Lepisosteus oculatus: one gene and its partners. The protein of the gene in region 1 purifies or fractionates together with the protein of each later gene. This does not show direct contact. Links are inferred from orthologs where the notes say so. Each region holds a gene or a part of one and is shown in the gene's direction. Other genes may lie near its edges. The genes, in order: zmynd8, mta3, mta2 and znf687b.

Region 1 (7,643 bases):
TACAAAAAAAAGTATGTGGATGTTTGCTTGCTGTCATGAAGAACAAATAATTATCATGTAATTAAGAGACAACTAGTACACATTTACATTAAAGTTCTACTTTAGTTGTGCATTACATGACACAACATGTTTCTGTAATAATGACAGAGCTGGTGATTTTTTCCAACATTTTACTTTAACATTTGATAAAAAGGGCATTTCATATTTACACCACGAAAAGTGAACACATACATGGGTCAGACGCCCACATATTCAGAATACATGTAAGATTTATTTACTTCCTCTTCCTGTATGTATCTGTCTGGTATTTGGCATGAAAGTAAGCTGTTGCTTCCAGAGCAGGGCTGTTCTCACACAGATAGAGTAAGCACCTTTTAACTCTGGAACAAGCAAATAGCCTGTTTCCTATAGGTAATTCTCAGTAATGTAGCCATGTGGCTGTAAGCACAGGACAGAACAGGCAGATGCAAAAATTACATACATTCTGGGCATTTTGCTAACACCCTAGACACTGACAACTTTCAAACTACATCAAAATAATAAAATACACAAATCTTAAATATGACATATCTTTCACAATCATTGTTTTCTTCTACTGGAATTAAATGTACAACACATCATTTTGCAGGGCACCAATGTTTGTATGTTCCTACTTTTCTGATGGGGATAATGACTACTACTACTACTACCACCACCACCTCTGGATGTTGCTGCTGATGTCACAAAGTGATGTTTCCAATATTTAGATATTTAGCAACTTTACACCTTATTCTTCCAAATCAGTTAACTACACCATGTTTACTAACAATCTCCCTAATTAAAATAAATAATCATTTGCCTATCAACTTTAGGTTTAAAAAAAAGCTTGGGCTTGTTTATACATAGGTTTTGGCTTCCTGTTTCAGCTGTTATAGTTTATAATTTCAGAAAAGTCTCTACTTTTTAGATCGGTTGTTTTTAAGAACACAAGCTAACAGGTTCCTTCTGCATTGAATAATGCTGGTTTCATTCTTATATCATTGCCAGTCCTGGTCAGTAACTTACATCGAGAATGTACTCCTGGATCAAGGCATGAAGAATGATTGCAATCAGGACATAGAAGAAAACTGTAGCCATATCTTTTGGTCCATACTTATAGAAATTGACAGGCTCAGGTCTGTCATCTGTATTGAAAAGAGGAAAAAAAGATAACTATAAATGTTAACCCCACACTGTTAAAAATCTAGTAGTTTTCCAATTTTAAAATTGCTCAATATTCCAAAAGAATTTATGCATTTTGAAAATTTTTTCAAGCAAACAGCAGTTGAGCCATGCTCTTTTCTTTTTCCAGTTAAGCAGCATTATACCTTTAACTACAGATTAATATCGGTGAATGCTTCCTAAGAACAAGGTCAAAGGAAAACATTCCAGCAACAGCATTTAGAACCAGGGATGAGAATTTCTGCACCATTACTGATGCAACCATCAGTCCTGTCCCCGGGGTGAGTCCAATTTTGTTATACTAAATGTTAACTGTAAACCTCTTTAGCATGAGTTTGATTAAACCTACCCCTTTCTGGAGATACACAGTACTCATCGTATTTAAACTTTTGAAAAAAGATGGGAAAAAAAAATTAGGCAGACAAAACAAAAGGCATCAGAAAGGCTTTTACTTGCGTTTTCATCGATTTTAGATGATTCTGGATTGACCTTAACAGTCTGCACGCAACAGACACTAACACACACATAGCACATCTGAAGAGCTGCTCTTTAGCCCAAAACCTATGTCAACTGCATGGTTACTCTGATGAAGATGATCTCATTTCTTACCCCCCTCAGTTTTTCCTAACGCATTTCTTTTGACTTCTGCACATCTTAACCCAAGTTGTCTCAGTGGGTAAACTTTTCATTGTAGTGTGCTACCAGACAATGCAACACCAAGCAAATGAAACTGGGACACTGGCTTCACTCAAGCCTTTTCTGAATGTAAAAAGCCTCTGCCATGCTCGACTTTTGTGATTATTCCCAGCAGCTGTAAGGACTCTGTATCAAACTTTATTGTAGCAATGCTTTAGTTTTATTAAAGTCCTTTGAGTTGAGTCCCCAGAAAAGTGCTATATAAGTGTAAAGAATTAATTATTTAACGAACAAAAAACAAGGAAATGTTACAGTGAAGTAAAAGGCTCTGAGGCAAAACACAAATAGCATATTTCTGAGATAATATTTAACCAACTTTACACACTGTAAAAGTGTACCCCATGTGTTTTTTATTAAAGTTTAAGACTTACCAAGCGTGTATGTCACATTGTATTGGACAGTAATAAACATGATGGCATATTTTGCTGTTACCTGCAGAAAAAAAAAGAACAATGAAGAAACAGTCATTAAAATGCTCTCTCTCTCCAATAGAAAAAATACACTCCAAACTAAACATTAAACTTGTATGAAGGGCAACAAGCATGAACTGAACATGTAAAATCGTAACATGAAGGTCCAATGATGTACTGCTAAAGTGCACGTAGTCAAGATTTGCTTTAATGCAATTTTCCAGGGCAGGAAAACCTAATCTCTGCCTGAGCTCTAAATGTGAATATTAAGAAAAACAATTGTGTCCATTTTTATTTGCTCTGATATTTTCCAATGCTTGGTGCTCTGTTTTTTTTTCTTCCCCAGGGAATGGCACACATAATCATTTTGTCTCAAACTTCAAAACTCCTTTGGATGTCAGTTCATCAATATTTTTATTTATATCCTAAATGGCGGGCCCTGACACTTATGTCTTGTCCTAATGTGGTATTTCTGCTTCTTTGCAAATCAGGTTACTGATGTGAAAACTCTGCATCAATGTGCAATGACATTATAAGATGATGCATTTCGTTTTAACCCCCTTTTCAGGCCCAGAAAAGGGCCTGTGTGACAGTGTGAGTCACACTGTCTTGTGTTTTTCTGGTGCCCTGTACAAACCCGGCTACAGATTTGAAATATTTTCAGAGCTGGCATGTGAGATAGCAATGGCTTTCAATTCTCACAGTTTCACCTAGTGTTGCCCCATTTTCAATGACTATTCCTGAACTTCCAGACAAAGCCTCTCTTTGTGGAAGAGTTTTATACGATGCACTACATAAAAAATGCATTGTAGCAGAAACCGCAGATAATATCATAATCCAGTAAATACAAATACAAATAAATTGTACTGTATCAAAAACATGTACACATGAAGTTAATGCATGATAATGCAAGACTGCTGAACCCTTTGGACAACTCGTGCAACGTCAGTTTTATGCTGTAAAACTAAAATTAGTAACTTTATGAATTAACAGAAGACATTTTAAATTTTAAATTTTAAACCGTCCAGGTGCCATTAGTTCATTCGCTCCAAAAACAAAAGCTGTGCCTCGCACCCTTCAATGTAAATAATGACTGCCGAGACGCGAAAACAAACATTTTGTCAAGTTCGTCGTCGTTCGCATTCGAAATATTACCATCAGTAACAGGTAACAGGCAGAAAAAAAATAAACGTTTAAAACATTGCTTTTTGCGGTTATATTTAGTACAACCCTAAAGCACCTGCAGTATGGCAAGGTACATAGCTGCATTTGGCACATCCGATCATTAATAACACTTTAACCATCGACCAGGCGTCACTGCCCTTCGAGTTAGCCAGCTACAGTACCTCTTAAAAACATATCTTCGGTGTAAAATGATATTTTGATGTGGGTGCCTAGCTGTGACATCAGCCCAGTAAGCTGAGGCGTTATATAAACCAATAAAGACATTTCTGGCGGCTCTGAACTATGTCCGGGAGCTCTTGTGTTCGGCACTCTGAACTATTTGCCCTGTTGAGAGGAGCTTTTCCTGTAATGTGACCAGGTTTATATGGCCGCGTTCAGTCTTAATGATCAGGGGGGGATAGTTTGTGCCCAGCCCCCTTGTGGCTGTCAACCGGGTGTCCTGCGTGCCGATCTGCTTTTTGTTGTTTCCTTACTGTACCTCAAACATGAGTCCCAGCAGAATGATCATGGCCACGCACGACACCATATCCGCGTGGTTCTGGATCACGAACTCGTGGCTCAGTACCGGCGGGCTCTTGTTCTTCTTACGGAAACCCATGGCTCTGGCTGACTCGGCAAGCACTTCTTCCCGCGTGTGTTTCCCAAAAACAAGACCCCCCTTTCCTCTTGCCCCGCCACTTCACTGTTGAGAAGGTGCAGTATTTTAGCATGAATTCGAGAGGATCGACAGAAGGCAAAATGTGCTCACAAACACACACACACACACCACGCACGCAACCACCGGACTCAGCCCGACGTACCCTCCCAGATTCTACTCCAGACTCCTCCAAGCACCGCCCACTGACGCACAGGTCCCGCCCCCCGCGGCAGGGACACACGTCTGATGGACGGGCAGATGGACCAATCGGAAAAAGGAAGCCGGGATGAGCGGCTGAGGCGTCCGCCAATCGTCACCCACGCTCGGTGAACCTGCCGGGCAGGGCAGAAAACCGTCAAGGCCTCCATCTCCGCTACGTCAAAGCTCTCTGACTTGAGTCGTCGTCGTCGTGTTGTCACAGCGTGCTGAAGCGCTTTATTTCCCCTTCACAACAAGATCGACTGCTGTCTTCTCCAATAAGAACGCGTTCATGAGCATTAAACCTTGCAGTTTTAGGGTACAGAAAAAGAAGGGTTTTTTTTTAGAATGAGAGTGGCCGATGGGGGTTCTGAATGCTTAGGAGGCACATAATCCATACACACACGTTTTTTTAAAGCATTGTACAAGCAAGACTGGGATAACACCGATTTCTTCACCAAAGGTTAGTAAAGCCGTTTCATGAAAAGAAACAAAGGGCTGCACTGATAGTCTAGAATACTTTACATTTCTGGAGAGATTTTGTATCGGGACCAAAGAAAACATTACACGGGGCGCAATGCAACTAAGGTTTGGTTACTCACTTCAGAGGAGCATTAAAAATCCTGTGCGATTACCGTTTCCTTAAATCTAGTTACACTTACAACTACCGAAGGGTTTTGGTATGTACAGAACCTTCCTGTTAAAGCGTTTGCAAGCTGCATCAAGTGAAGGTGTGAAGAGTCTCGTTGGAATGAAACTAGAATTCCATTTTGTGATTAAATTATTTAGATATAAAGGTCTGGCTGAGTGGTAACTTAAATAAATGAGCCTGTTCACTTGGACACTTATACACTTAATGTATAAGTACTATCAACTGTATGCAATTGTTTACATGCATAGCCATAATATGCAATGATAAGCAATTATATTGACATATTTTAGTTAATTACTGCCATGTTGCCTAGTGCGATTCCTGAGTGCCGCTGAATTCAACAGCCAGTGGCTGCAGAAGCCAGTGCATAGAAATGTAAATACAGACATGCTTTATATTTAAAAGACAGAAAAATTAATTCAGGGAAGTTGCAAAATCTTCAGAAGCAAAATCAAGTCATCAGTGCCTGTGTGTTTTAAACATCATGGCAGTGAGGGCTGGGCCTAAGAGGATGTCACCTTAAAGAGATAAGAGCTCCCTTAAAAATATCCATTGTGAGGACAGCATCTTACTATAAATCATCTTCCAGCTTGTCTGAAAAAAAAAGCTTCAGCACTCCCGAGGCTGATGAAGACTTACAATTCTCAAAGAGATGTGGTGTGTTCACTTTGAAGGCCTCAACACAAGTACTGTATTGTGCTCACCAAAAAAATGAGAGATTTTTGACAGCCATTTGTCTCCACTTTGTTTCAGTGCCAGGACTGGAGGAGACATTTTTAAACGCTGTGTATCCAGGTGTGGTTAATCAACAGCTGGGCAGCCTATGCACATAGAACACATTTATAAGCTTCAGTCTGTAAAAGTAATTTTGTGCAGTGATGGAGTGGTGATGAAGTATTCAGAATAGTAACTGAGCTATGTGGTGGAAAAGGTGTAAATGTAAATGACCACTCTAAGGTTCTGGTTGTTTATCATCTGACCCTTTAATTCTATGTATATGGAAGTCTAATGTGCCAAGGCATGAAAGAACACAACGTGATTAGTGTAGGATGTGAGAGTGCAGCCTATTTATCTATACTAGAATTTGCCTCAAGGTGTCACTATTACATTTAGGATCACAGAAAAAGGGCACAAAGCTATACAGTAAATAGTATTTCCTGCGAAAATAATGTTTCTTCTACAAGTGAATTGTAAAATTATAATGCAGGTGTATAGCAGTATTAGAAGGTGTTCAACACGTGCAGGTGTCAGAACATATAATTGCAGGCTGTTCAGTAATTAGTAAGAAGTCCATTTTCGACACTCCATTATAGGAAGGAGTGAGTGAGGCCAATACTTTAAGCTTTTAGACACCTGAATCTCACAAAAATTGTAAGTAGTAGCCAATGTATATCTCTATATGTTGGGTGCTTTTAAATCTGTTATGAATTTTTTTTTATATGATTGTTTTATCTTTGTGATTGGTAGAATTCCTTGTTCTTGCCACATAAATTAACTTTTATTATGCAAAACTATAGCAGTGCGGCCTGATATGTAAGAAATATTATGCCATTCTGAAATAAAATACAATTTGTTATAGATGCACAGTTTGAATTCACAATGAAAATATATGGCATGTTTGTGTTTAAATTATGTATAAAAAGCTTATTATATATTATTTATATGAAATATTATTTTATATTTACTTTTAAAAACATTTGTTTCACAAATGCAACAATACCCCAATAACCAATTAATAGAAATTTGTGAATCACATGTAAAAAAAACAAATTGCTGTTGCTGTTAATCAGAGTTTGTGACCCGACTAGAGGACATTGGCTACTTTTTGTAGCACAGTGCATATATTTCATGGGGAAAATAGGAAAAAAACAGTACACACAGTTCCACTTTGATTGAGGTAATGTCAGCCTTTTCTCCTGACATAAAACAACCATGACAGTACTATATTTAAATAATAATTTTCTGTTGGAAAACCAGAAATTACGAAAACAAAACAATATTTTTCATATAGAAAACAGTTCATTTTGGTAGATGTTTAGTGCTTGTATACAAATCTATTTTTATTTCTGGATTAAATCTAATACAGTATTTGATTAGTAATGCACAATCAAACTGTCTTTTTCTAAGAGATTGTAAGTAGACCAAGATCTAGAGAAAACAGTAATTTTGTGGAATCTAATGGGAATTAACTGAATTTGCAATACTAACATTTTGTGAGATGTTGTGTAATATTAGAAATATGCCTTTAAAATATAATATTTACATTCACTGTATATTGTCTGCATGTTTTTATATCTAATATTTCTGCATATATATAGGAAAGATATATATATATACACAAATAATTGTGTAGTTGGCCAGTTGACTATTTTGTTCTTAAGAATCTTATAAATGTAATATTTCTAGAAGCCTGGTAGATTTACAGATGGGCCTAAGACAGACCTTCTACAGACTGCTGTCACCATTTATTCTTACTCTTCATTCGTATACTTTTGCATTTGGGAACTTAAATTTTCTGTGGATTGTTAAAATAAAAGGGAGGGATTTCTTAGACAAAGGCCTTTCTCTCTGCAACAGGGAGGACGAGTCAGACTGCTCCTAGTTTTCATGTTTTGGGGAAATATTTTGGAAAATACAGTTAAATACAACCCAGCCAATGTAGGAT
Region 2 (8,589 bases), on another chromosome or scaffold:
TAAAAATGTATTTATTTCGAAGAGTACAGAACATTGTGAATGAATAAAGACATTTACAAAATAAGCCGATGTAGTTATTTTACAAATAAGTAAAGCATTTTAAAAATAGATTCTCCTTGACAGCAAACAAGCCGATCCACCTGGCGCTGCTCAAGCACAGCTCCCAGACCCGTGATTGGCTAAACCCCGAACAGCTCGGGCCGCGATTGGGTGAAGAGTGAGAATCGACACTCTGATTGGGTAAAGCGCTACAGCGGAAGTTCCGAGAACATGTAGATACACAGGTGATGGATGTTCTTCTTGGTCCAAATACTGTAGCCCCGGTTAACCGTGTGTGCTGTGTGAGCACGCTGGATATACAGTAACACATCCATTGGTTTCCAATTACTGATCAATCTAAGAGAAGTCGCACTGAGGTCAAAACTGAATAGTAGACAAAGAATGTCATGGCACCCACAGCGCGTTCACGACTCCGACAGCATGTCACGATAGGAGTGCGCGCATCACAATCACATCGCGATACCCATTGCGTCTGGCAGGTCACTATCGCGACATGAAGTCTATATATCGCGATATGACATTGGCTCGTCAAAACGCCCCCGCGCTCATGTCGCGACATGAAGCCCGCATATCGCGATATGACAAACGCCCCCGCGCTCATGTCGCGACATGAAGCCCGCATATCGCGATATGGCATACCCCGCCTAAACGCCCTATCCCCCATGTCGCGACATGGAGTTCATGTATCGCGATATGACCAAAACTGTCACGCCCATATCGCGATACATGAGCTCCATGTCGCGACATGGGGGGTGGGCGTTTTGTCGGGACATTTCATATCGCGATATAGAGCCTTTCATGTCGCGACATGGGTCGGGGCATTTTTGCCGGGGTATGTCATATCGCGATATGCGTTATGTTATGTCCTATCTGGGTATATCATGTCCTGATTTGATACCTTTATTGCGACAGTCGTGCCAGGGTGGCATGGAAGCAAGGCGCCAGTCGTGACATACACTGCCGCGATATACATGCAATATGCATGGGGTCCCTATCTAGGTCTTGTTGCGATGGTGTCCCACAGTTATGCGTTTGGCAAAAGCGTGTCAAGGTAGGGGAAGAAAAGGAAAACGTGCCTTAGAAAATAAAAACCATAGATCTTACAATCACGGTGATTTTACAGACATTACAACCACAGGTTTATGTCATTGGTTAACTTGTTGCCATTATTTTAAGGAGACTATATGTTTATGGATATTGATTGTCTTTAAAATGTTAAGGGTACGAGCTAAACTGTAACAGCGCGCTTGAACTCGGCAGACGGGGTCACTGGAGGTCAAAGTCACCGTGCATGGTCACGTGATCAGCGGAAAAACAAGGTGCTTTATCTCGGGAACGAAAGCAGCACAAACGCTACTTTCAACGGTACCAACAGGCACAAACGTAGCACTAACGAATGAGGTGGGTTTCATCGTTTGTGCTGTCTGTAGTGGGACCAACGTCACGGAGCTTTTACCTTGCCTTTAAATATTCAGCGGACTTGAGCATAACATACCAGAAGAAGCTCGAGGTAAACCCTGCATGGTATTTTAAATACAATATTTCGGACGGATTTTGAATCTTGCGTTTTGCGTTGTGTTCATTGTGTGGTGCAACAAAATATTAACTTCAGAGTAACTCGTAAAACTATTGAACAATCTATAAGCGGGCATAAGAAATACTTAGAACTGTTATAAGCAACAAGTGAAAATGGGCTTGTTTGATCCTTCATGATGCTTTTAAACGTGTATGAAACCCATTAAATTAGTATTCTATTTTCGATGCCAAAAGACACCTAATTTGGAAATCCGTGACTTCCTAAAAGACTTGACACTGAATTGTTATAGTCGCATTACAGTGCTAACCAATTAGTCGTACCTTTAATTGCAAGAATGGTCTGCTAATAAAAGCGCACATACATACTTTGGATGTATTTTAGCTCTGTAAACACTAAGGGTATGCGCCCAGGCCCACCCGTGGCTACGCCCCTGCCTCACAGTAGTACTCAGTGGACATGACTGAACTCAGTAATGAATCCAATTCATAGATAGGGATTATTAGGAGGCCATTGTAGGTAAAGACCAGGGGGAAGTTTGGCACACCCCCTCTTTTCAAGAAACGTCCTGGACTTTTAAATGACCACAGAGAGTCAGGACCTCGGTTTTACATCTCATCTGAAGAACGGTGCCTTTTTTCCCCACAGTACAGTGTCCTCTTCACTATACTGGGGCATTAGGACCCAGGCCACAGGGTGAGCCCCCTGTACTGGCCCCACTAACACCTCTTCCAGCAGTAACCTTATCTTTCCCAGGAGGTCTCCCATCCAGGTATTGGCCAGGTTCACAACTGCTGAGCTTAAGTGAGTGGTCAGTTGTGGGTTGCAGGGTTATATAGCTATTTAACTTTTTGTGATTAGAGATGTATTATTTACTATTACTTATTATTATCTGGTGATTAGATTCAGTGTACAGTAGTATCACTAGGCTTACCAAGACAAGTGGATGAATTGGTGTGTACAGTATCACAGTGTGTGGTGGTTAGTGCTGCTGCTATACAGATCTTAAGTCCTGGGCTCAATTCCTGTGTGGCCATCCTTCTGTGTGGAGTTTGCATGTTCATCCTGTGTTTCTAGGGGTTTTCTTTAGTTTTTTGTTTTCAGATAGATTGTGGTTTTTGTTGTCTCTATGTGTGGGTTCTGTGATATATGATACATGCTGCAATAAATGTGTAACTACTCCAAACAGACTTATTTAATTCTTTGACACTTACACGTGGACCATATTCATTTTAAAGTAGATCTGGTCACTGTTTTCTATATTTCTACATTTTGTTCATGAAGGATGTATATTTTAATTTTGACTTTTCTAAGTTTTCTTTAAACAATAAATATTAGAAAGTGGCAAATGCAGTGCATTTTACTTTGTATATGTAAAATACAGAGCAGCTTTCAAGGTGATCAAAATAAACACTAGCATATTATTGCAAATTGCTGTGCTTATGAAATGGTAAATCACTGAACAATTAATTTTTCAAAAGTCCTCTCAATAAAAGATGAAAGCACTGAAGATAGCACGTTGAATGTTCTGCACTCAAACAGCACATGTTCTATTATTCAGAGGCCATGGGATTCAGTAATGTATTGAAATATTATTTGTTTGTTCACTTTGGCCGTTGTGAATAAAGTACTATACTGGCAAATTACAGAACCCTTGGTGCTACAACAGATTCTTTCAGTGGATTTTTCTTCCTATGAAAGCAAGAGGCCACTGATTTGATGGGTGTATTTCCACATGCTGGAGGTTCCAGATATGTAAGTCTAGGGATGGAGCTCCAACAGTGCAGGAATGGGTGCATACCTTTTAATGCCATTTAGGTATGACATCATGGGCCGATGGACAGGACCGTTCAAAACTAAACAGCTCAGAACACAGAATAAAAAGTAATCAGACCATAAAACATACAGTCTCCTGATATGTTAGAGAGCCTCGTGGATTTTAACATTCTTTCAAAGCCAAATGGTGAAGAACTCACACCTAGCAATCTCTTTAACATATTTAGATCGAATTTTATTAAAAAGAAAAAAAAACATAAGAAATAAGGTGCATTTGTAATATAAAACCTTAAGACTGTAAAGCCTTAAGCAAACCAATTGAATTTGTCAAGTATACTCTATTCTCTGTTTTGTTAGTCACCTGTCACCATTAAGTTGTCTACATGTACTGTCTTCACCATACCAGCTCCAGCTGAAGTCTTATTCACAGTGTTCATATGAAATCTTGTTGTAGTGTACTGTTCACTGATAGCTTGCATACACACCCAAATCACTGGATCAACACAATATCGTCTCGGCCAAAAGATTTAGCTGGCAGCTGCAACCTCCTAAATTAAAACATGATCTTAGATTTGTTAGACATAGAAGAAATTAAGTTTCCCTTGTAATTCTGTAAAGCAATGTTGTTTTCTAACTGAGAAACAGACAGGCAATAGCATAGGCAATGTCGCAGAACGTGCTGCCAATAGGACCCAAGCCATCCCCTTTCCAGCAAATCTGTTTGAGTGGTAATGGATCTGTGCATCTGATTGGGTTCTGCCAGCCTTTTAACAACAGGGCCACTCCAAGCTGTGATTAGAAGTGTTCCACCCTCATCTCTGCATATACAGTAGACGTTAATAGAAATATACAGCCATTGATTGTTATGACATCGAGAGGAACTAAAACTGCTGCCTAGCACCTCTTTGAATGCAGGAGAATCCCTTGGCAACATGTCTCCCACTGAGTCCATTGACATATCTCTGCTGCACTCCAGTCTAATTAAAGACATTGATTACGGATAGAACAATTACAGCCTGCTGATGTGATCTGAACAGGTTAATTAATGAACGGCCTTATTAGGGCTGTCATCGTGAAGCTTAGGCTGAATCCAGCTGTTTATCTTATTGCCTCCTCATTATTTCTGTGGTATTTTATTAGGCATGGGATTTTCAGTTTCCTTTCTCTGTTAATCTGAATTCAATAATTTTCACAAAAATCCAGGATTCTAGACACACCTTTATTAGGGTCATTAAATACACTCACATGGCAATGATACAGTTTAAAGAGTGCTACATAATCGTATGCACATGGGTGCGCAAAATGTCCTAACACCCCAACCGGGTTACAGGATAACTTTTGAGGTATGTCATGTTCTGCACAGACAGACAGCCGTGTATATGCAAACTGAGGGAACAGAATATTTTTAGTCTATAAACAGAGTTTAATGCAAGGGTACTTGGTTCAAGGATTCAAATTCCTGAAAGGGATTGACTAAGGCAACCCAACAGTCTTCTCCAGCAGTGTATAACAGAATGGCAAAAAGAGCAAGAGTATTTTAGATTTATTTACACAAAGGGCGGCAGGAGAGTGTAACAGGTGATCCAGCCATGTTGTTGATGCATAACCCCAGGTATGGTTCAGGAAACCGCAGGGTGAGATGGCACAAATTTAGCAGCAGAATACCCACAATGGACGGAAAGGCCTAATCTGGTTTGTAACCTACGTGTTTTTAATGCTTAAAAACTTTATTCCATAAAACATGGCACAGACACACAAGACAAAGCCCAAACAACGAGTGTATGTATGAATGGTGTGTGTGTGTTTTTAAACCCCTTCTACTCAGTTGCCTTCGGGTATTTCCGTGGAAGTAAGTACCCACAGTACGTGAAATAACCTCCGTCGTGAGGCACTTCATCAAGACTCCTGCCCAGCGCTGAACAACTGCGGCTTGTGAGTGGACGCAGCACCGGAGCTCCACTATGGCACCGCCTTCCGTCTGTGCCCTCCCCGCCAATCCCCCACATCCCTCCACCCCCACCAGGAAACAGGGCTCCGAGCTGATCTGAAGCCTTTCGGCGTGTTTGTTGCTGTATTGTACTGTATGCAGGGAGAGGGGGGGTTGTTTTAAATCTCTCTCCCGCTCAAGTCTCGTTCCACCCCCCCACCCCCCACCACGCCATTTCATTGCGGTATATTTATATATAGGTACTCTTTTATTTATTTTTATTTTATTTTGTAGTTTATGATTTTCCCTTTTTATTTTTTTCACGCTCCAGGAGGGCAGAAATGGCGGCCAACATGTACCGGGTCGGAGGTATGTCAGTCTAGATTTTTGATTTACAAAAGTGTTGGTATTTCTTTCAGCGTGACGGGGTGTGCATTAATAGATATTCGCAGAAGTACGGTTTTAATGTGCCTGTCAAAAAGCTGCGGGAAGCAGGTCTTTTGCGAGCCCGGTGCAGCAGGAATTTTCAATTATTTGGGATTAAAATCTGGGTCGGGCCTTAAAACTAACCATTAGAAACTGAAAGCAGCACTCCCAAAACAAACACCATCTGATACTTTTTCAATTTTTGATACATTTCCTACACGTGTAAACGTCTATTGTGATATAAGGTCTTGAGTGTTCAAAGAGTGAAGTTGAAAGTAAGTTTTACAGTTATATTCTGGATGTGCGTCCATTGTTTCTCGGGTGTTTCTTTGTATTTATGCCCTTGTCTTTGCAATGATCTCCATTGGTCCCTGTCCGTAAATCAGTCATTCACGGTTTATTATGCACGGTCACATCCAAAGACTTGCAATTCGGCAGTCGTATGGTCCCAGAGTGTGTTTTTCTGTCATTAATCTGGAAAAAGGTGGTTGTTCTTTTTAGTGTCTCCTATGTTATAATAATGTCTATCGGTTTTTGAAACTCCGGTTGCTAGGATAAAAAAAAACATTTTTCATAATGGCTGGAATTTTCTGCCCCCCCCCCCCACCACGCATTATTTTTTTCAAGGTAAATAAAATATATCGAAATTACTGAACGAAGCTAGTGCGATCAGACTGGTCTTGTGTGAAATTTTGTGCTTCAAAGTATGGGAATGTTCCAGTCACGTGACACCTAAAAATATTGGCATCTTTTACGACAATCTTTTCTTTGTCATCAGGTAACTGGAGAAGTTCGTCCTTAATACAATAAAAACTTTGCTTTCTGTTTTGAAATCGTCCCGGCTTCTTTTTATTATTATTTTTGAATGATCAGAATAAGAGTACTTTGTATTGAATTAAATTAGGCCTTACATAGGTAGGTGTCTGGCCTGGGTGTCTTAAAACGTGACGTAGCTGCCAGTAGTGTATATGCACTTTTATGTCAACACCTAATAAACAACCACATTACATATGTGCGTATTACTTATATATGGATATAGACCTGTATTCTGTTATTTAAAATTCACTTGAGCAAGTCATTCTGATGTTTTTTTGCCCTTCAATCCAGTTTGTTTTTATTGCATATAAAATATTTTAGAGATTTGTATCTGGTTTATACATTGTAAAGGTTTAATATAACCCATGGATTATTTTTTTTTAATTATTTAAGTTGTTGTGTGGAGATCTTTCAATTCTACTTCTTCCTAATTCTGCTGTCTTGGATCACTAGGGACGCTTTCCCATGAGCTCTGATGTTCTAAAAACACTGAGTCCAGAAGCTGATTTCAGGGTTAGGAAGTAGGAGCTCAGGAAAAACCTGCAAATACTTGCACCTGTCCATGGCAACTGGTCCTACTGCTCCTTAATTTCCTCTGAGACCAACTAACACTCTTAAACCTCTTAAGTATCTTAATGTTGCCTTTTCTGACATTGCCAGCAAACACTCCTTTCTAGACATTAAGGCTTTTATTTGTACATACGTGTTATATACATGCAGGTATATATATATAAATAAAAATACATGCACATAGCAAACTCAGCATTTAAGTCGATTTAACTCTTGTGTTGGGTGTTTATCATGTTATTCTTTAGCATGATCACCTAAAACAGCATAACTGTGGATATGTACCTAATTCAGTGGGATTCTGCATTTTGAGCGGCATTACTGGAGCTTTTTTGTGTATGAGAAAAATGCACCAGGGTTAATGTTGTTTAAAGTTATGCGATATGCCACTTTCTGTGTTACAAACACCTTTGCAACAGTAATGATATGCTTTTCACTGAGCATCGTCATAGGCATTATTTGTATAAGAATTATAATTTATTTCTATTTTCAGTTTTAAAAAAAAGATTTATCACATATGCTTCTGTGTTTGCTCTGCATTGATCTTCAGGCATCAAAGTGCAGGAGTCTCAAACTCTGTTCCTTGGGGGGGCTTTTGTCTTCTGGTTTTATTTAAGTACTCAATTAAAAAGTTAACCTCATTTTGCAAATTAGACATCCATTGCATTACTGTAAATCTGTAATTATTGTAAATCTAGGTTAAAGAAAAATAATTTGTTTACAAGTTAAATATTGACAATAAAAACATTTCTTTTGAAAAGCTCTAACCCTGTTTGTTTTGTTGCAGATTATGTGTTCTTTGAGAACTCTTCAAGCAACCCATATCTAATCAGAAGAATAGAAGAGTTGAACAAGGTATTTTGCAGTGTTTTTCTGGGCTGGAACCAAGAGCAGGGTGGGAGTGGATGTTTGTAAAACCCTTGAGGGGATGACCTTTAAGGAGCAAAAAGCTTACATTTCTTAAGGGAACTGGGTAAAATTGACAGACCAGTATTTGCTCATGGTCACTGATCTTATTTTTACCTACTTGTATACCGAGGTGGGCGGACTTTAATCGTTGTTAAGGATTTTGTGAAGGTTGATCTTTGCATGTAATTCATTTTGCCTTTGTGCTGAGGGATTATTCGATCTGACCATTTAAGTTGACTCCTGGGGAAAGTGTTGGCAATAAGGAAATCATGGAAAGTAATCTCTCTGTTGACTCTCAGTCCTGTGTGACTGACAGATGTCAGCAATATGTTGTTATTGCTTGTGTTTCTATAGGACTTTCCATGTCAAAAGATCCCAAAGTGCATTACATACAGAAGTGGACTCACTTTATCCCCCACTTAAGTGTAGCACCATCAGTAGTGCCTTTCAAAAGTACTTACTTCCCTTCACTGATGTCCTACTTTGTCTCTTTCTGTGTGCAATAATAATGGTTCACATGATTTCAGTATAAATACACCTGTCTCTGTTGGTCCCTCAGTCAGGCAGTGAAATT
Region 3 (7,665 bases), on another chromosome or scaffold:
TGACCCTGGAGGGCTGGCGGAGGTCACCTGACCCCACCCTCCACAGCGCCCCCTGCTGGCCGAGAGCGCAAGCGAGCGAGCCGGCCCCTCGGGGGGGACTGCCGGCACTGGGCCTGTGGGAATCCCGCTCCGAGCGGCTCCGTCCCCCCCGACGCATCAGGGGCCTCGTTTTCCGGCGCCCAGCGGGGGCGGGGGGCGGGGGGCGGTCCCTACGATGCCAAGCCCTGTGTCGCTCGGCCAGCCTCGTCCCCAAACCCCCCCCCCCAAGTCCCACCGAGATCCGCTCGGAAAGCTGCAGACCCTGCTGGGGGGGCGTCTCCCCTAACCCCTTTTCTGTCCCCCCCCCCCCCACAGGCCCCCAGCCACCGGTATGAGGGCCACGGCAGCCATGTGACCAACGTGCGCTTCACCCACAACGACAGCCACCTCATCTCCATGGGTGGGAAGGACACCTGCATCCTGCAGTGGAGGGTGACGGGGGGCGGGGGCGGGGGCGCCCCGCTGGACCGCAGCTCCTCGGTGTCCTCCAACTCCGTCAGCTCCCAGGAGCCCGGTCCCTAGAGCAGAGGGGCCCCGAGAGAGACCGCTGACGGCTGAGGCGCGGGCTGGTGGGAGAACTGGCCCTGGTGTGTGAGTGTGTGTGTCAGTGTGTGGGTGTCCTGTGATGGACTGGCGTCCCGTCCAGGGTGAGTGAGTGTGTGTGTCAGTATGTGTGTCCTGTGATGGACTGGTGTCCCGTCCAGGGTGAGTGAGTGTGTGTGTGTCCTGTGATGGACTGGCGTCCCGTCCAGGGTGAGTGAGTGTGTGTGTGTGTCCTGTGATGGACTGGCCCTGGTGTGTCAGTGTGTGTGTGTCCTGTGATGGACTGGCGTCCCGTCCAGAGTGTACTCCGCCTTGCACCCAGATTCTCTAGGCCAGAAAAACCCATGAGAGATCCTGTGAGTCAGGGCAGCTCCAAACAGAACAAGCCAGCGGACCGGGACCTTCCTCTCCTTTCAGCAGCCTCTCTCTTCCTCCTCCTCCTCCTCGGGTTTGCGCCTCGGGCTGCAGAGGGACCACCAAACCCAGGCCCACGATTTCGGACCAAACGTCGTTTTTCTCATTCTGTACAGAGATTGTTTTATAGAGATGCTTATGTCTTATGTCTGTTTTGATTTTTGATTTTTTTGTTTTGTTTTTGTTGCAAAACCTACACTCCAGAAAATGTGATTCTTGGCTTCTCCTCCCCCCCCCCTCCTGGAATAAACAAAGAAATCTCGGAACCAAGCAGGGTGGAGGTCATTGGGGTGCGACAGCGGGCTGGTCTGGTGGGGGGTCTCCCGGCTGTGAGACTGGACTGGGACCACCAGCAGGGGGCTCCTAGATTAGATTAGATTATTCTTTCTTGCCACACAACTGTAGCTGGTTGAATTTGCTTTCGGTACAGCACAGAACACAGGTGGGACATGCATACAACATGTACAGTACAGATTTAAATAGGATCCCTGCTGCTGTAGGTGCTGAACACAGAAAGAGACCTAGAACCCCCCCCCATCCTAGAGTAGGGGGGCACAGCGTCGCTCATGGGGAGACAGGAGGGTGTGGGCTGTCCTCCTACCCCTCCATGACTTCATTGAACTCGTTACGGGCTGAATCAGACAGGTGGGGTCTTTTTCCTAGTCTCTGAGAAACGGGAGATTCGAAGAGACCCACTTACCCTGACTGTGGACTGTGGCCCTTGAGGGCCGTGATGGGGGTCCCCTGCCCTGCAGCTGGGTGTCTCAATCGGGGAGGGGGGGGGCTGAATTCTGACCCCACTGGAGGTCCGGTGTGTCCGTCTAGCTCGTGTATCGAAGGCTTGAAACAGCTCGTCGCCGGCTTCACTCAAGCGACGTTCCGGCTCCTCCGGCACTGTGGCTGTTTATAGTTAAAAAAGAAAATAGAATATTTTTTCTGAGACTGTAGGTTTAATTGAAGGCTTTCGGTCAATTGTGTTCCCTCCTGCGCAGTACCACGTGTTGCCAGCAGAGGGCAGCAACGACCTGCAATTCAGCTGCATGGCTCCGATTCCAACGAGCTAAGAGTTTGCGGCCTTATTTTAGTTTTAGTTATTGGTTTTAAGACACGGCACGTACTAACACTGCCCACGGGTGGCGCACAAACACAACCGGGAGTGAAACTCTGCGAGACAACCCCACAACGAGCTGATACCCGTTTGCAGTTCCCTTTCGTCTTTTCCGAGCTGGAAGACAACACTGGCACATCACGGCCCAGACTGGAGCAGGAGTCGGAAAAGACAGGGGGTCTCGGGGAGACCAGTCTTGAGACCCCCCTGCGTCTAAAACAGCTGTTCCAAAGGATGAATAACTTCAGAGAGGTCTCCCAACCAGAAGGTCATAACTTAATAATAATAATAATAATTGCTTACACTTATATAGCGCTTTTCTGGACACTCCACTCAAAGCACTTTACAGGTTTTGGGGATCCCCTCCACCACCACCAGTGTGCAGCCCTACCCACTTACTTAGAAGTTAATCGATCCCAGGGTCAATCCATTTCTCGAAAGTTTCGATTCAAGCTTTATTGCCCACTGGGGAAGTTTGTTTTACACAGCACCCCAACATGACAAAGACGAAGACCAAGCAAGATGTCGGCGCAGCACTGTTACAGCATGCTGAGAGAGAAGATGGATACGATACATAGCAGCCAGGGTATCGCCTTCAACACCACGGCTGGGCAGCTTGTCCCCCACCCCCACCACCCTCTGTGTAAAGGCGGGCCTCCTGCGCCCAGACTGGAGCGTCTCACCCAGCTGCGTCTTGAGTGACGTCGAGGTTATCAGCCTCAACAACGTGGCTGGGGAAAATAGCTCCACGCTCCCGCCACCCTTGGCGTAGAGCGGTGCCTCCTGTCCTGCTTGTAGGATCTCAGCCAGCTGTGCCTTGAAAGAAGCCAGGGTATCGGCTTCAGCACCGCGGCCGGGCAGCTTGTTCCACACTCCCACCACCCTATGTGTAAAGTGTGTGTGTGTGTCTCTCTCTCTCCCTCCCTCCCTTCCCGCCCGCTCTCAGTCTGAACCACTCTTCCACTCAGTTTCCTCTGGCGTCTTCCTGGTTAGCCTTTCAGTGTCGAACGCCTCACCGCCCCCCCCCCGATAACAACTGGTGGGTTGAAAACGCGCTGAAACGGAACTTTTTCCGCCCGTGCGGCCTTTGCGGTGCCGAGCGCGGCGGCGGCGGGGCCAGATCCGGTCCCGCACGACGGGTCGAATTGGAGCCGCCGAGCGGGGCGGGACTTCCGCGTCCGTGCCCACCGCCGGCTGTGGGGCGCAGCGGAGCCGAGAGACCGGCCTCGGGACGTCCCAGCGCCCGGCTGCGTGCACGGCGACCTTGTCTCTTAATGACCCCCTCCCCCCGGGCTTGGACTGCTGCAGGGGGGGCGATGCAAACCACCGCAGCCAGCCTTAAAACACACGACGCCCTCGCCTCGCATGACCCCGGGCTGTGGCTGTCAAAAGCGGTAAACACGTGTCGCAAAAAACTCCCCCCCTCCTCCTCCTCACACACACAGAAAAGTTCAATAAGCGTTGGTGTCCCCGGTAGGATAATTACAGAGCGACGGGAGCATTTCTCGCACGGCATCTTCGGGAAGGGTTCCTGGACGTTGCGGGTTCGAATCCAGGGCGTGCTGTGCCCCCTCCCGTCCCTCGAGGGGGGGCTGCGTAGATCAGACGTATCGATGCACAAATACAGTGCGAGCAACTTCTGCGATTATTCAAAGGGGGGGGAGGGGTATGTGTTAACACCCGGGGGGGTGCGTTTCATTGTCCATTGCTTTGGCCTGTCGCTCGGTGTCGCCCTGGTGCGGGTAGTTCGGCGAGACGAGACGGGATCCCCAGCCGAGACGAAACCCGCCGGAGATACCCGAGCGCGGCCGAGGCGAGTCCGGCCCGGGCGGCGAGATGGTCCACCCCTGAAGATGACGTGAGCCGGCGAGGAGGGAGAGAGAGAGAGGGAGGAGGGGATGTGGCGTGTGTGTGTGAGAAGAGAGGTGAGGAAGAGGAGGATGAGGCTGGGAGCGGAGGGTGGGAGGAAGAGAGAGAGACGGGGTGGCTGTGTGTCGGGACTGTGAGCGAGTGACTGCGGAGGAGAGGGCGCTGGTGGACTCTCCCCTGCCGGACAGGAACAGCCGTGGGGCGGCGGGCGGCGACACGGGTTTTCTTCCACCCAAAAAGAAAGAGAGAGAGAGAAAAAAGAAGGGGGCTAAACCTGGACAACACTGTAACGGAAAGTTGTAACTTCGCGAGTGGCGGCGCGGGTGATCCCTCGCCTTTTGTTTCTAGGCGAAGGGCGGCCCGCCTCCGAGGGGGAACCGGGATCGGATCGGATCGGATCGGCGCCGGGAGACGGATTTTGCCTCCCTTCTTTCGTTTTGTGTGTGTGGTTTTATTTTTTAAATTCCTATTTCAAGAAGAAGAAGAAGAAGAAGAAGGGAGAATTGTTTCGGCCGCAGCCGACGGGTTTCCCTCGGCCGGGTGTCTGTTCAAGACGGCGACCGGAGAATGGCGGCCAACATGTACAGAGTCGGGGGTGAGTTCGCCAGTCGGGTTCCGAGTTCGGGTCGCTCCTGTCCCGAGGTGGGGGGGTTAGGATGCAGAGAGGAGGTGATGGTGAAGGAGGTGGTGGGGGGGTTGCATATTTTTTTATTTCCGTGCGTGTCGCTCCAGCCAGCGAGAATTGAATCATCATCATCATCGTCATCCTCGGTTCGGGGAGAAGAGGCACCGATCCATCCCGGTGCTCCGGTGACATCGAACCGGGTCTCTGTTCTGCCGTCGAAGCCCTAGGCCCCGAGCACCCCTCTCTCTATCCCCCCGGTGATCTCCGGAGGAAGTTTGGCGAAGGATTTTTATTCAGTTTGTGTTTGTGTGAGTGAGGGGGGTGGCGGGGTCGTTTTAAATTAAAACCGCAAACTGTTTCCTTTCTTCTTGTGCGAAGAGAAAGGGGAAAAAAAAAAACACCCGGCCGACGCCGAGACGGTTCGTATCTTCCTGTCCGGAGAGGCTGAATTTTGGGAAGTAAAAAAAAATCTAACACAACCGGTTTAAGGTCCCGGAACCGCCGGTGTCTTTTTTTTGGGGGGGGGGTGATTGAACCGTGCGAGGTGGGAGGGAGGACGACGACGACTTGAATTTGTTCAGTTTAAAAAAAATAAATAAATACAAACTATTTCGGGGACTTGTTCGCGGAACTCCACGCAGGACGCAGGTTGCCCACGCCACGGGGTTCGTGAGCGAGCGAGCGTGTGTGTGGACGTTACCGAGGGCTCGGCGGTGCGGAGAGGCGATCTGCTCTGGTCGCGTCTGAAAAGGCGACATGTAGGTCACACACACACACTCTCACACACACACACACGGTTCGAGTGGAGGGTAACCGGTATGGTCGCGCAGAACCAAACAAACACAAAAGGAGCACGCGTGGCGCGCACACGCCACGCAGCTGGCGTGGAAACCAGCTGAACGGGAGCCCCGGCGGAGTCCGCGCGGCCTGCGTGTCTGTGGCTGTCGCACGGGAGGAGGAGGAGGAGGAGGGGGGGGCGGATTTTATCGCGAAGGCGGAACCACCGTGTCGGAAGCCGTCGCGCGGCCGGTAGCGAGGAGGGGGTTTCGGGGGGCCGCTGTGCAGGCACGAGGCCTTGAGGGGAGGGGGTGGGGGGGCTTTATTCTTTATATCTTGAAGCCCTGCTGTTGAGGAGCTGCCCTCCCGCCCCCTCTTTCCCCGTGCGTGGACTGTGACGCCAATAACACACAGCCAGGGCGCCCGTGGGACAGACATCCACCCCGCCACAGCGCGGGGGGCTCGCTGCTGGACGTGCCAACAACTGTCTGCCCCCCCCCCGACCTTTTCGTCCCACCCCCGGGGGCAAAGTATCACGGTGTAGAGACACACGTGAGCCTGCCTTGTCTCCTGTCTCCTGGCCTGCCGGGGTGGGGGGGTCTCGAAGCGACCCAGTCGATTTTAAGGTGGAAGTTTTTCAGGAGTGAGCGAGACGCCTGGGGTTCAGGCCCCCCCCCCCCCCCCTGCGGCGGTGGCGGTGGGCTTCAGAAAGGTCTCGGCCTGTCTCCCTGCTGCCCACCCTACTAATGCCCCTGCAGGCTCTCTCATGCCTCCTTCCCTTCGTGTGCCCTGGTGCGAGCTCTTGTGCACACCTCCTTGCACCCTCCTTGCCCTCGTGCGCGCTCTCGTGCGAGCCCCCTGTGCACACTCGCTCGAGCCACCTTGTCCTCGTGCACACCCTCTCACCCTCTGCTCCTTGCCCTGGTGTGCGCTCTCGTGCAAGCCTCCTTGTCCTCGTGCACACTCTTTCACCCTCTGCTCCTTGCCCTTGTGCACACTCGCTCAAGCCTCCTTGCCCTTTTGCACACTCTTTCACCCTCTGCTCCCTGCCCTGGTGGTGCGTGCTCTTGTGCACACCTACTTGCACGCCCCCTTGCTCTCGTGCGCACACTCTCACCCTCTGCTCCTGGCCCCGGGCCACACCAGAGCCCCAGTGACTCAGGACAGCCCTCCCCTGCGGCCCTGGTGGCCCCGTATCTCTGCTCCAGCGACCTCAGCGCTGCGCCCCCATCTCTCCGCGCCCTGAGGGTCTGCAGGGTCCGGCTTCTGGGTCCAGCCCCCGCTGCTGGAACAGGCTCGCTGTGCCGCTGGCCTGTGTGGTCATCAGCCCGTCTTGGTGGTTTTCAGGAGCTTTTTCCTCTCCTAGATCTGGAGGTCCTTATACCCTCTCGTTCTAGTGTGCGTTGTGAAGGGGGGTGGTTGCCCACACTGAGCGGTAAAGACCAGTTTTTGGGGTTAGATAATGGCAGGGGTGTCCAGTCCTGGTCCAGGAGGGGTCAGTGTGTCTGCAGCAGGGCTGTCCAGTCCTGGTCCAGGAGGGGTCAGTGTGTCTGCAGCAGGGCTGTCCAGTCCCGGTCCTGAAGGGGTCAGTGTGCCTGCAGCAGGGCTGTCCAGTCCTGGTCCAGTAGGGGTCAGTGTGACTGCAGCAGGGGTGTCCAGTCCTGGTCCAGGAGGGGTCAGTGTGTCTGCAGTAGGGCTGTCCAGTCCTGGTCCAGGAGGGGTCAGTGTGTCTGCAGCAGGGCTGTCCAGTCCTGGTCCAGTAGGCAGTACTATATTTGCAGAGTTTCCAGGTCTCTTCAAAGCAGCAGCAAACTGGTCCAAGAAGCCAGTAATGAGCTAATTGCAGTCATTAAGCATTGACCTGGAATGGGGAAAAAAACTGCAGCAGCACCTAGCTTTCCAGGACCGGGACTGGACACCCGTCCAGGATCTCATTAACACTTGGATCTCCGATCATGGCCACCAAAGAGGTCAGAGGTCAGTGCTGGGGCAGGCGATCTCTCCAGATAATCAGTCTGCTGAGAACCAGTCTTCTTGGTGGAGCAGAATCTGTCACTCTGTGCCCTGCTCCTGCCGTTGTCCTGACTACCTGTGGTCATTCGAGATCTGTTTCGCAAGAGCAGGAGTTCTGGCCGCTGCATCCAATTCAAGGCCAAAGGGAAAACGGAGCCTATCCCAGCAGGCAGTGGGCACGAGATTGGGCATACCAGCAGTGTGAGACCGCACCGGGGCCCTTCCGTTCCTGAGGGTCTGTCTGTGTGGAGTTTGCATGTTCTAGCTGTTTGTGTGG
Region 4 (7,802 bases), on another chromosome or scaffold:
TCACACTGTCACCCTACAGTCCAGAGATCACTGGTCCAGTCTGGGCCGGGTCACACTGTCACCCTACAGTCCAGAGATCACTGGTCCAGTCTGGGCCGGGTCACACTGTCACCCTACAGTCCAGAGATCAGTGGTCCAGTCTGGGTCACACTGTCACTCTACAGTCCAGAGATCGCTGTTCCAGTCTGGACTGGGTCACACTGTCACCCTACAGTCCAGAGATCACTGGTCCAGTCTGGGTCACACTGTAACCCTACAGGCCAGAGATCACTGGTCCAGTCTGGTCACACTGTACCCCTACAGTCCAGAGATCACTGGTCCAGTCTGGGCCGGGTCACACTGTAACCCTACAACCCAGAGATCACTGGTCCAGTCTGGGTCACACTGTAACCCTACAGTCCAGAGATCACTGGTCCAGTCTGGGTCACACTGTAACCCTACAGTCCAGAGATCACTGGTCCAGTCTGGTCACACTGTAACCCTACAGTCCAGAGATCACTGGTCCAGTCTGGTCACACTGTAACCCTACAGTCCAGAGATCACTGGTCCAGTCTGGTCACACTGTAACCCTACAGTCCAGAGATCACTGGTCCAGTCTGTGCCGGGTCACGCTGTAGCCCTACAGTCCAGAGATCGCTGGTCCAGTCTGGGCCGGGTCACGCTGTAGCCCTACAGTCCAGAGATCACTGGTCCAGTCTGGGCCGGGTCACGCTGTAACCCTACAGTCCAGAGATCACTGGTCCAGTCTGGGCCGGGTCACACTGTAACCCTACAGTCCAGAGATCACTGGTCCAGTCTGGGTCAGACTGTAACCCTACAGTCCAGAGATCACTGGTCCAGTCTGGGTCAGACTGTAACCCTACAGTCCAGAGATCGCTGGTCCAGTCTGGGTCACACTGTAACCCTACAGCCCAGAGATCACTGGTCCAGTCTGGGCCGGGTCAGACTGTAACCCTACAGTCCAGAGATCACTGGTCCAGTCTGGGTCACACTGTAACCCTACAGTCCAGAGATCGCTGGGGTTTGGCGGCCGTGTGTGATGCCTGTGAGGCCGCTCATCCCCTGTCCACAGGCTCAGTGGAGTGACCTCTCCTCTCGCTGTCTCTCCTCCAGGCTCTGCGCGTGTCGATGGAAGAGCAGAGGCAGAGGCAGGAGGAAGAGGCTCGCAGGGCAGCTGCTGCTTCCGCGGCCGAAGCGGGAATCCCCACTCCCTCCGGAGACGGTGAGAGGATGGGAACTGGGGAGGGAGGAGAGGAGGCGAGGGATGCGTAGGAGGACTGGGAAGGAGCAGGGTGGCGCTGCAGGGTAGAGGTTGAGATATGTGAGCTGTATTTTCGATGAAGGATCTGGTCTTACCTCCTCTCTATTCTCCCCCTCCCTCAGAGTCAGAGGAGGCTCTCTTGAAGATGTCGGTGTCTCAGCCCGAGTCGGGGACCCCCGGGCTCCCCGATTTCAGCAGCATGACGGAAGATGAGCAGATCGCCTACGCCATGCAGATGTCACTGCAAGGGCCAGGTACAGGGGTGCTCGCTTCCTCCTAACACTGCTTACGCGCACACACGCCCTCGCTGGCCTGCCCGAGCTCCCCTCTCTGCCGCCAGTCCGCCTCAGTGAGTCTCTCTCTCTCTCTCCTTGTGCTGGCAGAGTTCGGCCAGGCCGAGCCCATAGACATGGACACCGGAGCCGCCATGGAGACTACAGAGTCCACGAAGGTACGTAGATTTTCTTTCTCCTTCTCCGCGTGCTCCATCTCCCCCCATACCTCCTGTCCCCCACGGACGAGCCTGCTCGTTCATTCTCCCCTCCCTCCTGTGCAGAAATGTGCTCGTTGGTGAACCTTTACTAGAGTGAGCAGGCAGGCAGTGTTGGAAACCCTCCCTCGATCTAAAACCGCCAGCTCTCCGGTTGCCCTTGGATACGATCTCCCCCCGTGACCTCTTGACAACCTCCGAGACCTGGCTGATGCCCCCGGAGCCTAGGGGGTGGCGCTCCGAGCTGGGAGAGGCCTGCTGGACGTGGGGGCGCTCCTGGGGAATCGCATCACAGTCGTCCAGTGACAAGATCCAGGGCTCGAACCAGCAACAGCTGGGGGGTCACAGAGCTCAGCAGGCTCTAGGGGGAGACGCTATGGGGGTGGGGGGCAGGGAAGCAGTTGCCAATTTTGGGAGAAACCTTTCCCTCTTCCCTCCTCTTATCTCACCGCCTCCCCCTCCCGTCTCCAGGAGGAAGACGACTATGACGTCATGCAGGACCCCGAGTTCCTGCAGAGCGTGCTGGAGAACCTGCCCGGGGTGGACCCCAACAACGAGGCCATCCGCAACGCCATGGGCTCCCTGGCCCCGCAGGGCACCCCCAAAACCGAGGGGAGCAAGAAGGACAAGGAGGAAGACAAGAAGAAATAACGGGACGATTGCATGGACTCGCAGGGGAAGACAGACTCATGCACGCACGCACGCACACACTTCTGGGAAAGGGAACCGAGACACACGCACACACACACAGTGGGATACACACACACACACTTACACTAGAACAGGGCTGCCCAGCGCCCGCCCCTCTGCCCAGTGCAGGGCTGGAACACACCCAGTATCTTGCTTGCTCTTCCTGAGTGTTGCCCAATGTCAGTGAAACGGCTAGGGCCATGGGTGGGGCCACAGTCCGAGTGAGAGAGGTCTGGCGGGCGCTGGGGGCTGGTACACACGCAGATGTAGACACCTGCATACTCAAGAGCCTGGTCATTTTTGTATCGGAAAGTTAATGGTTAACCCAGAGGGACGTTGGGGTCTCTGCCCTCCCCCCCATAACCCTTTCATTCCTTTCTCTGTCTTCAGTTCACACTTTCTCCTCCTCTCTTTTCTTCCCCCTAATTTTTCTCTCTTTTATTCCTCTCTTTTTACCCCCTCCTCCCCAATGCAGATGCAGTACTGTATTGTGCAGCCTTTCAACAATAAAAAAATTGGGAAAAAAAGTATTGGAATGTATTGTGTCCTATGGTGTATTGATGATGATGTTGGGTATAATTGATCCGCCATTCTCTTGTTCAAGTCTGGGCTCTGGATGCAGTCTAGAGGGCCTGAATGTTCATTGATCGATCAGGAAGAGCTGTTCCAGTTAGAAAAAGGCCGCCAGCGGGTTGAGACTTTGCTGAAAGTGGGAAATGTGCCCTTGAAGTGGGATTTGTTTTTTCGGGCTGCCTGAAGAAACATGTCAACTACAGTCCAAAGCGAGCTGATAATTAAGTGAGGAATCTGCATCGGAGAGGCAGAGCTCAACTGGAATGAAAACCGCGGGATTTTCATGGGTTTGGGAACCAGCGATCTCGGTCACCTGTCGCGAATCGGGGGCAACACCTGCTAATTGTTCAGCAGTGATGGAAGGTAAACATCTTCAAGAGAGCTCTCGAATATGGTCCCCACATTTACATCACAGATGATCTTTAAAATACTTCAACACTACCTGTTTAACTGATCGCAGCAAAATTGATTCTGTTCTTCAGTAATGGTAAATACTAAATGTATAACTGCAAAGCCTGCTGAGACACCCAGCGGAAATCTCTTGGAACTGCATCTTTACGCAAAGTGTCGTGGGAGTGTGAAACAAGCTATACAGCCATACCGTTGAAGCCAGTGCCCTGTTTCTTTCAACACGGTTCGATTAAGATCCTCAGAATGGTTACGGCTACTAACTCAAACGAGCTGAATCGGTCGGTTGGCTTCCTCTCCTTTTAAAGTTTTCTTATGGTCCTAAGGAAACGCAAGGAAAAGTGTTTTTGAAGGGCTTTTGAAAACGGAGTCGTGGTACTCGTACAACCCCAGCGGAGCGACCGTCGCTGTCAGCCGACGGACGAGCTGGGATAGGGCACGCATTTTAAAGCGGGCAATACTAAAATTAAAATATAAGAAAACGACTCGTATATGTATGGTTACAGAGCATGTATTTTTTCCTTAGCGACTTCAGTGCAATTATACCTCAATCTCGCAAATACAGAAGGTAATTTCTTTAGAAATAAAAGCCGTCTTTCCGCCATTTTGGCTCTGGATACACGTTACTGCACGGGTCGCCAGTAGGACCAAAATGGCGTAATTTCCTCGCCCTTTAACTTTTAAACTCTTGGTAACCTCTGATGTCGTATTAGCTACCCTGACCTTACACTTTTAACAGACACACACGTTGACCAATCGCAGTTAGCATACTAACAGTAAAGGCGGGGATACTATGAGGGATCTTCTATTCCGCCAATCAACGCCCATTTTCTATCGACCCAGGGGCGGGCTCTCCTTCGGGCTTTAGTCCGCGTCAGAGTGGAGTCTCGGAAGAGCAAAAAATTAACGTCGGCTTGATGTACACATAAAAAAAACCACGGGCAGTAATAAAACACAAACAGGCGGTGTGATGTGACAGAAAGAGGTTAATACATTTTTAGTTTATTTTATTAAAAGTAAACAAAGCCTCGAAATACGGATTCTCCAGTGCCGGAGAAGAGGCAGCGTGAATCTGACAGGACCTGTCCCCATCAGGTGACGGGAAACTCAGGCGCAGCGACGGGAGGTTGGAGACACAGGAATTTCGCAGGCAGGTAAACAAACACAATATTTCACCCCGAAACCCCGGGCGGGCAGCGCTCTTCCGCACCCCAAAGTGTAGATAGCAGTTCCTAACCCCGCACTGACTGCCTCTCCCCCACCGAAGTGCAGTCGAAACCTCATTTTCGTCTGTTAAAACGCCCGCATTCTTCCTCCAGATACTCCCTCTCAGATCCGTCCCTGATGGCTGCGGCGGCGGAGGAGGAGGAGAAAAAAAACTTTGGCCACGGCATGAATTCCACTCCCTCCCTCCCCGAAATATCGCACGAAACCGGCGGAATTAAACGGTTTCATCCGGGTGCGTTTACAAGTGCAAGCCCTAAGATTGTGTTCGCAGGAACCCGTACTCGCCCCATCCGGAAAGTACGTGCGCTCAGCGGTTCACGCTTGCCCTCGAAACACCTTTTCCGAGAGCGGCTCGGCGCGGCTGTCTGTGATGGATATTATTGATCCTTCGGAGGTGGTGGATCATGACGTCGAGTTTTAGAGTTTGCGGGGTTCAGCCGAATAATGTGATCGATCTCATGTTCCGAAATAATGTGCCCCCGTCCGTTCCCTGCACAGCCCGCGGGACTGAATTTTCCACGTTTTTTTTCGTAAAAGACGTGAAACCTTTCCACGTCTTTTTCACAAGAGTGGATATATATATGTATATATGCCAGTACAGGCATATTGTACCCTCGACTGTGCTGATTTCTCAACAGGATGAAAAATAATTCCTTCGCTTTGGTGGGGAGCTTTATGACTGTTGTCCAGTGGACTAGTCCCGGTCCAATTCTGCGCTCCCGACTCATCGCGGAGTCTAACTCACGATCCATGCATAAGCCGCTAGCAGAGCGCATATGTGAAAATGTTATTTTATTCCTTTTTATTTAACGACTAAACGATTTACAGATAAAAGATCTGAAGTAAAATAATTGACTGTTTTCTTGTAGTTTATTCTAAATTAATTACAGGGCAGTTAAAATGGGTAGTGAAATGGACATTGTACTTTCAGATCCTTTTGTCAGGATGTTCCTGCTATTCCTTGCCAGGGGCAGCTAAGAGAACCTGCAGGATTTAGAGTTCCAGCATACGGAAAGCTGGGCCTAATTGTGAAATTTAAACCAAGCAGGGGGCTGGATAAGTCCTTACAGTTGGATTGAATATCCTCAGACCCTCCGGGATCAGGATCGGAGTTTTATTTCTTTGCAATGCGTGGTGATACCGTGCAGCACGGTGGCGCAGTGATTAACATCGCTGCCCCACAGCGCAGGGGACCTCGGTTCAGATTCGGATCGGGGCTGCTGTCTGTGTGGAGTCTGCGTGTTCTCCCTGTGTTCCTGTGGGTTTCCCCCTGGGCGCTCCGGTTTCCTCTCACAGTCCAAAGACACGCTGGCGGGTTCATTGGCTTCTGGGTAAAAGCGGTCCTAGTGCGAGGGTGTCTGCCCTGTGATGGACCGGCGTCCCGTCCAGGGTGGTACCCTGCCTTGTACCCAGGAGAGGCCCCAGCTCCCCTGTGGCCCCGAGCTGGCTGCAGTGGTTTGGAAGTGGATGGCCGTAGCGTTTCTGCTGGGCTGTGAAAGAATCTCTCCCTCTGCAAGTAATAACAATAATAATAATAATAATAATAATAATAATTGCTTACACTTATATAGCGCTTTTCTGGACACTCCACTCAAAGCACTTTACAGGTAATGGGGACTCCCCTCCACCACCACCAATGTGCAGCCCCACCTGGATGATGCGATGGCAGCCAGAACACTCCCCACACACCAGCTCTCAGTAGGGAGGAAAGGAGAGTAATGAAGCCAATTCATAGATGGGGATTATTTGGAGGCCATGATTGGTCAGGGCCAATGGGGAATTTGGCCAGGACGCCGGGGTTACACCCCTACTCTTTTCGAGAAACGCCCTGGGATTTTTAATGACCACAGAGAGTGAGGAGCTCGGTTTTACGTCTCATCCGAAGGACGGCGCCTGTTCACAGTCCAGTGTCAAGTGTGCTGGGAGGTGCCAGCTCCGAAATGAGCGGTATACAGGGAGCTGGTCTTTGCCGTGATCAGGAGGGCGGCGATGTCTCTCGGTATGTGGCAGCGGCAGGCAGGTGCTGTCGGGACGGGGGGGGTGTGGAGCCGATTCTACCCTGTGTGATGCGTCAGAAGACACAGGGTGGATTCGGCCTCACTCACATCTTCCGGGCTGCTGGTTTTAAAAGGGCCGGTGGCGTAAGTAGCTCTTTCTGAAGGTCGTTCAAGAATCTGTGTAGTCTGGGGAGAGAAGAGCAGCATGAAGTCGAAAAGGGGAAATTTGAAACTGATTTTGTGCCATGGCCGGCCAGGTGTCCTGCGCACAGCTGACCGGTCCAGCCCCAGGTGTGCGCGTTAGCCATCGCACTCCCAGCGCACGGCGGTCTGATTCACCTGCAGCTCCCTCTTGAGAGCCTGGTGCCGGTGATCTGGACTCCCTTGCGATGACATTTGCAGAGGACACGCAGGCACGTGTGAGAGGACATATCTGTGACAGGTCCTTGTCTCCTCTCCTCTCTGCAGTTTCTGTCCGCTATCCCGGAATGGGGGACATGAAGACCCCAGATTTTGACGACCTCTTGGCGGCTTTTGACATCCCCGACATCGACGCCAAAGAAGCCATCCAGTCCGCGCCGGATGAGTCCGAGGGTCACCACGGCAACCATGGGAGCATTGTCAAGCAGGGGGGTGGAGGAGGAGGAGGAGGGGGGGGGGCTACAGGCGTAGCAGTGGTCGGTGGAGGAGGGGTATCCCCTCTCCGGCCCGCAAGCCCCCCAGAACATCACCACCATCAGCACCACCATCAGCAGCAGCAGCAGCCACACCCCCAGAATGTCCAGCTGCCGGCGCCCCAGCCCGACCCCTCCGTGGTCAGCGTGATCGTGAAGAACCGCGTGCGGCCCGAGGCCTTCGGGGACATGGAGGCCGAGCCCGACCGAGACGGCGGGGTCGTCGTAGGGTCCCGCCTGGGCCCCCGGCTGCCGGGGCTGGCCGGCCCGGCCATGGTGGCGCCTTCGGAACCGGCGGTGCTGATCCACAATGGGTTCGGGGCGGCGGCGGCGGCGGCGGCGGCGGCCCTGGCTGTGGGGGCGGGTTCGGGGCCTTCTGACGCGGCCCTCAGGCCCCCCGGCTCCTCCCAGGTCTCCAACGGGGAGCTGTGGGCGCCCTGTTCCCCCAAGACCCCCGAGAACGCTGTCGCGAACTCCGGGGG

What was found.
Region 2: the proteins of zmynd8 (region 1) and mta3 purify together in Homo sapiens (affinity purification with mass spectrometry, with the first as the bait; 3 studies listed by BioGRID). This does not show direct contact. The link is inferred for Lepisosteus oculatus from reciprocal best matches to the Homo sapiens genes ZMYND8 and MTA3.
Region 3: the proteins of zmynd8 (region 1) and mta2 purify together in Homo sapiens (affinity purification with mass spectrometry; 3 studies listed by BioGRID and IntAct, with this or other methods). This does not show direct contact. The link is inferred for Lepisosteus oculatus from reciprocal best matches to the Homo sapiens genes ZMYND8 and MTA2.
Region 4: the proteins of zmynd8 (region 1) and znf687b purify together in Homo sapiens (affinity purification with mass spectrometry; 4 studies listed by BioGRID and IntAct, with this or other methods). This does not show direct contact. The link is inferred for Lepisosteus oculatus from reciprocal best matches to the Homo sapiens genes ZMYND8 and ZNF687.

The regions. Positions count from the first base shown.
Region 1 is NC_090711.1:7,658,281-7,665,923, forward strand, and holds the start of zmynd8 (MYND-type zinc finger-containing chromatin reader ZMYND8), read left to right. Parts: upstream 1-4,494; 5' UTR 4,495-4,789; intron 4,790-7,643. Other genes in the region: translocating chain-associated membrane protein 1-like 1, read right to left, coding at 1,045-1,163, 2,268-2,328, 3,970-4,089. UniProt on the Homo sapiens protein: Chromatin reader that recognizes dual histone modifications such as histone H3.1 dimethylated at 'Lys-36' and histone H4 acetylated at 'Lys-16' (H3.1K36me2-H4K16ac) and histone H3 methylated at 'Lys-4' and histone H4 acetylated at 'Lys-14' (H3K4me1-H3K14ac).
Region 2 is NC_090712.1:14,766,229-14,774,817, reverse strand, and holds the start of mta3 (metastasis-associated protein MTA3), read left to right. Parts: upstream 1-5,392; 5' UTR 5,393-5,638; coding exon 5,639-5,666; intron 5,667-7,893; coding exon 7,894-7,961; intron 7,962-8,589. UniProt on the Homo sapiens protein: Acts as a component of the histone deacetylase NuRD complex which participates in the remodeling of chromatin.
Region 3 is NC_090713.1:21,715,925-21,723,589, forward strand, and holds the start of mta2 (metastasis-associated protein MTA2), read left to right. Parts: upstream 1-4,049; 5' UTR 4,050-4,540; coding exon 4,541-4,568; intron 4,569-7,665. Other genes in the region: eml3 (echinoderm microtubule-associated protein-like 3), read left to right, coding at 355-561. UniProt on the Homo sapiens protein: May function as a transcriptional coregulator. Acts as a component of the histone deacetylase NuRD complex which participates in the remodeling of chromatin.
Region 4 is NC_090722.1:6,133,087-6,140,888, forward strand, and holds the start of znf687b (zinc finger protein 687b), read left to right. Parts: upstream 1-4,341; 5' UTR 4,342-4,576; intron 4,577-7,114; 5' UTR 7,115-7,134; coding exon 7,135-7,802. Other genes in the region: psmd4a (26S proteasome non-ATPase regulatory subunit 4a), read left to right, coding at 1,114-1,222, 1,384-1,515, 1,645-1,712, 2,223-2,402. UniProt on the Homo sapiens protein: May be involved in transcriptional regulation.